Rattus norvegicus: one gene and its partner. The protein of the gene in region 1 interacts with the protein of each later gene in a biochemical or structural test. Links are inferred from orthologs where the notes say so. Each region holds a gene or a part of one and is shown on either strand. Other genes may lie near its edges.

Evidence for each region.
Region 2: the proteins of Copa (region 1) and Cope form a complex in vitro, tested with the Homo sapiens proteins (3 studies listed by BioGRID, with this or other methods). The link is inferred for Rattus norvegicus from reciprocal best matches to the Homo sapiens genes COPA and COPE.

Annotation. Positions count from the first base shown.
Region 1 is NC_086031.1:87,116,691-87,119,895, reverse strand, and holds the end of Copa (coatomer subunit alpha), read right to left. Parts: intron 3,096-3,205; coding exon 2,934-3,095; intron 1,765-2,933; coding exon 1,570-1,764; intron 1,293-1,569; coding exon 1,233-1,292; 3' UTR 640-1,232; downstream 1-639. UniProt on the Homo sapiens protein: The coatomer is a cytosolic protein complex that binds to dilysine motifs and reversibly associates with Golgi non-clathrin-coated vesicles, which further mediate biosynthetic protein transport from the ER, via the Golgi up to the trans Golgi network.
Region 2 is NC_086034.1:19,148,988-19,152,803, reverse strand, and holds part of Cope (coatomer subunit epsilon), read left to right. Parts: intron 1-101; coding exon 102-155; intron 156-654; coding exon 655-736; intron 737-2,241; coding exon 2,242-2,397; intron 2,398-2,936; coding exon 2,937-3,005; intron 3,006-3,688; coding exon 3,689-3,763; coding exon of another isoform or gene 3,764-3,816. UniProt on the Homo sapiens protein: The coatomer is a cytosolic protein complex that binds to dilysine motifs and reversibly associates with Golgi non-clathrin-coated vesicles, which further mediate biosynthetic protein transport from the ER, via the Golgi up to the trans Golgi network.

The DNA of each region.
Region 1 (3,205 bases):
GTCCCAGGCCAGCCAGGTCTACACATTAAGCTCCACACCAGCCAAGTGAGGCTCTGTCTCACAAAGAAAGAAAACTGGCTGAGGACTGCAGGAAGGCGTGCAGTCAGTGCCCTCTGCTCCTGCCTGAGGTAGAATGTGACCAGCTGCTTCAGGTTCTACCACCTTCCCTTCCCTGCAATGATGGACCTGCCACTTCGAGTCAAATGATCCCCATCTCCGTAAGGTGCTTTTGTCAGCGTCTTTTATCACCGCAGAAGCTAAGACAACTCTGTACTTACAGTAAATATGTAATTTATTATATACTCATTCTCTTCTATGTGCATATAATAAGTAAAACACGCAGAGCCGTGATGGGCATTAATAGGGGCTCAGCAAATACTGGCTGTAGTTAGAAACGAACAGAAAGTTGCAGTAAACGTGGACTCTTTTTACCAGTCCCCAACAATGTAGACGTTTCACATGTCTCCAAGAAAAACATTACCATTTTCCCCTTGTTGTGAGTATTAATTTAAAATGTATATAATGTATATAATGGTTAAAAAGTGTTCCTGAGGCAAAGAATCTGCTCTGGTGAGATAGATACATCGACATGAGCAGGGTCGTGAAAGTGAGTGTGCAAGAAGTAAATGGCAGCCAGGAGACTCTCAGAAATTTACTTTATTTGGTGAGCAACAGGATATAAGAACAATGGTAAGTTATAAAGGACAGGAACAAATCAGTGAAAACTGGTACAGATTTTGCAAAACTAAATGACTTCTTCTCAGCCTGCAAGTGTGTGGGCCCACATAAAGAAGGAACTTATTTATGACATTAAATGCACAAGAAAAATATGGGATAGTTAACAGTTCGTTTGGCTGAGGAAAAATGTCATTTCTTGCATCCTGCTGCTTGCTAGTGGAATTGGACCAAAGGCGGTAGTTAAGGAAGGAATAAATACTAAAGAATTTGCTAAACAAATGGCCAGCACAGAGTTTTCATTTGTTCCTTGGAAGGCCCAAGCTGAAACGCAAAGTCATCTATGATCACAAGCACAGTAAACTTCAGGAGAGGTCTGCAGGAGCAAGAAAATCAAGCTTGAAACTTCTGATTTGCCAACGAAGAGAAAGAACATGACGTTTTCAGGGAGAACCAACCTCAACAAGTCGAATCGTGGCTGTAGGGGAGAGTGAGGGTTTGCAGCTAGAGACTTTAAAGAACAGTGTGTGATTAACCATGCACGTGAAGGGAGAACCTTAGCGAAACTGAAGAGGACTGATCCTCAGACCAATCACATCTTTGCCAATCTCTGTCACCTGTGAAGTGAAAAACAGCATCAGGTTAGAGAACCCCAGAGAGCTTATTCCCTATACCCGCCGACGAGCAGGCAGAAGGATGCTTGGTGCTGAGAAGTGAGCAGTGAAGGAAGCACTAGCTTTGCAGTGTCACTGCCTGAGGGAGCCGCAGCAAATGCAGGGAGAGAGCCAGCACCAAGCTTCCTTTGCCCCTTCCCTCAATATCCCACACACTTTCTTTCTTTTGTTGGATCCCCACCCCAACCCTGATAGACACACTCTTGAGGACAGTACTTACTGTAGTGACCCTGCAGATCTGCCCTTTGAACTCAGGGGAATAGCAGGCCCCACTGAGTGGACACTTCTCCACTGGTTTTCCACGGTAGATGGGCCGGTAAGATGCAGCACAAATGTCAAAGGGGTTGTGCATGTCATAATTGAGCTGGCAGGCATCTGTGGGGTTTTTCTCACAGGCAGACAAGATTTTCCTTGTCTAAAGGAAGGAAGGAAGGAATATTTACGAGTACAGAAAGCATCATGATCTCCGATGCGATTATACGTTAGGCATGGTGGTTTATTTCTATAATCCCAGCACATAGGAACAGGGGGATCCCAAGTTCTAGGACAGCCTGAGTTATATACCCAGTCTCAAGAAACAGAACACGACAACTAAAGTAACTACGCCATGAGAATACAGGGCCCATCCTCTGTCTAGGATGTATGTGAAAAAATGACAATTGCCACTGTGCTGGTTGTACCAGTACATCCCAGAGCCCAGAAGGCAGTAGGAGGTCAGGAGTTTGGGATACACAGTGAAATCTTTCTCTTTCTCCAACATGGCTCCATGCTCTAAAGCCATAATCCTGTTTACTTCTGGGATTAGATTATCAGGATTGGGCCCCATAAAGAGCTGAAACAGGTTTCTAGTGCCCAAGGAGAATGTTTTTAGGTGGCATGGATCCTGGACTATGAATGAAAGTATAAGAGGTAAAGAGGGGTCACCTGGAGCTGAAGAACAGCTGAATTATCTGCAGGTGCCCGGAGTTTAAGGCTAGGAGCTCACCTGCAGGCCCACTGGGGCTATTCTAGGTTGCAAGGCCACAAGAGAAGGGCTGGTAAGCCCAGCACAAATGTCAAATTGAAATTAAGTCAAAATTAACACAGCACTTGGGAGGCAGAGGCAGGCAAATTTCTGTGAGTTCTAGGACAGCCAGGGATACAGAAAAAAAACTGAAATCAAACTTGGGCAAGGTTTTTACTTCTCACTACTAAAATTTAGTCAAGTCAACTACAGGATCTACTCCATTTAAACATCTATATAGAGTATTTTAGAATGCCATGCACCCAATGCCATATCTGAATAAATTATCACTCCGGTTTCAAGGGGGAAAAGATGCCCCAAGGTAAGTAACCAGAAGGCAGCATTCTATTGGCTTTCTTGGGTGGAGTGCTGTTCTATTGTTTCAGAGAGAAGGATATTGGCTTCTGCTCCTCAATTTTTTTTTTTTTTTTTTTTTTTGGTTCTTTTTTTCGGAGCTGGGGACCGAACCCAGGGCCTTGCGCTTCCTAGGTAAGCGCTCTACCACTGAGCTAAATCCCCAGCCCCTGCTCCTCAATTTAAGATCTGGTTCCCCCAAAGGCACTGATGGAATTCCCCTGTACCTGTTGGGCTACTTCAGGTTTGGGCCCAAGTTCCAGCAGGCGTCGGGCAAAGGTGGCAGCTGTCTTGAAGTTCTTGAGCTTGAAGAAGAGGTTGAGGGCTGTCCTCAGCACCAGGATCATGTGCACAGGCTGCAGGTTTGAGTGTGTGAAATAAGCCGCCATCTAGTGAACAGAAAGGAGCACCGAACAAAGTGAGGTTCAGCTGTGGTTTATAAACAGCTACACAATTATAAAAGAACAAAACAAAACAGCAACACAAAGCCAGCACAGGT
Region 2 (3,816 bases), on another chromosome or scaffold:
TAAGGAAGATCCCAGAGCCCTGTCATCTCACTGGAAAAGAGGAGGTGTTTCTCTTAGCAAGGCCAAGTGCCTGCCAACCACTGTCTCTGCCCTGTCCACAGCACGGCCATGACGATTCAGATCCTCCTCAAGCTGGACAGGCTGGACCTAGCCCGGTGAGCCACAGCCAAGACCAACCCAGACGTCAGCCTCAGCTTCCCCGAGGCCTCTTATTTCTTGTGCCCCATACAAGTGACACACACCCCTCTCCTAGCCTCTTCCTGGATCCTTTGCTGGGAACAAGGGTGTAGGGCTCTGCTTCCCTCTGTCATGCTGTGGGCAAACACTGTCCTATAGGGTGATGGGAGGCTCTGCGCAGGACATGTGGGAAGCCAAGTCCTATCTCCGTTCTTTGGGGGATGGGTGGGGATTGTTGGAGACGGAGTAGCAGCTCCCTAGGCTGTGGCAGGCCTGGAGCTTACCCTAGATGGTACCACACAGCTGAGCTCTGTCCTGGGTAGCATCTCTCTGCATCTGTACCATTCGGGGCAACAGGAGGGCCAGCCATGTCTTCTCCATATCAGCTGCACACAGACTAGTAGGAGAGTGTGCCAGGGTCCATCCCTAGGTTCTGGGGCCCCCAGGCCACTCAGTGCCCGACCTCTAATGTCCCAGGAAGGAGCTGAAGCGGATGCAGGAGCAAGATGAGGACGCCACCCTCACCCAGCTGGCCACTGCCTGGGTTAACCTGGCCATGGTAAGCTCCCCAGGAATCGGGAAGTGGGAAGGCAGGGACTAAGAAGTGTCACTCCTGTGGCTGCACCCTCTGTTTAACCAAACCTCACCTGCACATGATGGCAGAGCCCTGCAGACACTGACGAGGCTCCTGGAGAGAGAGTCCAGCCAGGCAGCTGGCCAGCTCTCAGTGTCCCCCAGACTTGGAGTGGTTCTGCCCTGCTCTCAGGGCTCCTTTCGTGGGCTGGTGACAGCCGGGCATCCTTAGCTCACACTGCCTGCCTCCTGCCACCTGCCCCATTCTGGTTTCTGGGCTTGGCCCCCTCTCTGAGCTCTTCTGCCCACAGGCCTTTACAGGAGAGCCCAGTGGCCCCTCAAGTGCTTCTCCTCTTGGGTGGGAATGGCCCCAGGTTTTCTGGAGGGGTACTTACTTAGTTTCAGTTTGGGTTTTTGGGTTTTTTCTTTCCTTATGGGACTGGCATGGAACCCAAGGTCTTACTCGTGTCTGGCAAGTGCTACACAGTAAACTACATCCCGGCCATAGTTTGCTTATTTTTATTTAAATTTAGCTTTGAAGGATTTTGTTCTGTTTTAAAAGCAAGTGTCACATAGCCCAGGGGTCATCGGATTGGCCATGTGACTGAGGCTGTTGTAGAATTTCTGATCTTCCTACATCCATCACCCTAGTACTGAGATACAGGCAGGCACCCCATGCCCTGCCCCTCTTACAAGATTGATTTTTGCATATGCATGCAGTACCTGAAGAGGCCAGAAGGGGGTGTCAGCCCCTCACAGCTGGAGTTACAGGTGGCTGTGGTGTGCCCAGTGGATGCCAGCAATGGGTCCATTTAAAGAGTAGCTGCTTACCCATCTTCAGCTCCCTGACCTTTTTTAAAATTTAAAATTTTTGAGCCAGATGGTAGGAGTGCACACCTTCAGTCCCAGCTCCCAGGAGACAGAGGCTGGTGGATCTCTGTGAGTAAAAAACTAGCCTGGTCCACAGAATGAGTTCCAGGACAGCCAGAACTCTACAGAGAAGCCCTGTTGCAAAAAGCCAAAAAGAGTGTTAATTTTTACCTTAGACAGAACTTCACAAGGTTCCACGTAGTGGCTTTGAGTTTACTGTGTGTAGTTTACTAGTATGGGACAACATGTGCAGAGGGGTGGAGCCTTGGTGTTTGTCCTGTAGGGTGATGGGAACTGCTGTCCTGCCTCAGCCCTCAGAGGAGCCGGAGTTGCAGGCCTGCCCTAACAGGCCTCACTGCCTTCTACCGCTTAGAGACTCAGTGTCCCTGTGGTCCCAACACACACCACTTCCCTGGAAACCCCTTTTCTATAGCATCTTAACAGTGGTTAGAGCGGGCAGTGTAGGAGGGACAGGCGGCCTCTGTGTCTTCATCCCTCCACTCAGGGTCCTCTGCTGGAAGGGAGGCGGGACCTGAGCTGGTCTAGAGAGTGACTCCCTGGGGTGCATCATGGAGGGTCGGGCCAGCAGGTGACCAGCAGTTGACCTAGGTGTCCCCACAGGGTGGTGAGAAGCTGCAGGAAGCCTACTACATATTCCAGGAGCTGGCAGACAAGTGCTCGCCCACACTGCTGCTGCTCAATGGCCAGGCAGCCTGCCACTCGGCACAGGGCCGCTGGGAGACCGCGGAGGGCGTGCTTCAAGAGGCACTGGACAAGGTGGGTGTGGCACATGCTGGCCAGCATGGGCAGCACTGCTGGCCGGCATGGGCAGCACAGCTGGCCATGGGAACCAGGTGACCTGATTAGTGAGCATGTGCGCTCTCCAGATCACTGCCTCCTCAGCTGCCTGCTGTGGGGGTCTCCAGGATGACAACTAGTTGTTTCCCTTCTGCTTGTCCCCAACCTTTACCTAATGTAGACCCACTGCCATCCCTGCCTCAATGGAGAAAGACTGGCGATGTAATTTTTGGCATAGGGGTATGGGTGACTTCACAATTATCCAGCAGTTTAATGTGGAGCAAGGAAACTTGGTGCCCCCCAAAGCTAGGAGGACAGACCCAAGCCACGCTGAGCAGGAAGCACAAGGCCATGGTCCCTCTGCCTTACAGAGTGAATGACGAAAACTCTGGGACAGCCTGGTGCCACCTGCCTTCCCTGTGGTAACTTAGACAGGCTCTTTCTGGCCTCAGTCAGATGTTGGTCTGAGGGTTCAGGGCCTGGGTTTTGTTGACTGCCTGTTCTCCATCTTTTTCCAGGACAGTGGCCACCCTGAGACCCTCATCAACCTCATTGTACTGTCACAGCACCTGGGCAAGCCCCCTGAGGTAGGCTGGAGTGTGACTTAGGCCTCAGCCCCTTCAGGATGGTGGTGAGGACAGAAACAGGACAGGTAGAGGCCAGTGGAGACCTGGGGGAAGAGGAAGTTGGTGCAGCTTTCTGCATAGGTAACCAGGGTGCAGCTTGCTGAGCCCTGAGCCAGCATCTGTTGCTGTCCCAGTTGAGGACAGACAGCGTCCTCAGTGTTGTGTACACAGGGCTGGGCTGGAGCTGCCTGGCTTTTAGGTCCTAGAACAGTGGCTCTCAAGCTGAATGTTAAATGAGCCCTTCACATACCCGCATAGCAGATCTTTACCTCACAGTTGATAACAGTAGCAAAATTACACTTCTGAAGTAGCAAAGAAAATTTTATGGTTGGGGGTCAGCACAACATGAGTAACTGAATTAAAGGGCCACAGCTTTAGGAAGTTGAAAACTGTCTTAGAACCTAGGACATGACAGCTCAAAAAGCTTCATCAGCCAATCACCTGCCCTGGCCACTCCCTCCCTGGAGCCTCTGCTGCACCTCTGAGGCTAGCTGTGGATGTGCTTCCCGATCCCTTAAGCCTGTCCTGGCTCTCCGTTGGGGGTGGGAGTCAGGGTCCCTCCCATGCTCCCACCCCATCCTGCATGGTAGCATGGCTTTTGGATCCCCATATCTGCCCGACTAATTCCACCCCACTCTCCTCAGGTGACAAACCGATACTTGTCACAGCTGAAGGATGCACACAGGACCCACCCCTTCATCAAGGAGTACCAGGCCAAGGTGCGCAGAGCGGTTGTCCTCGGGATGGGGAGGGAGAAGGCTGTGTGTCTCAT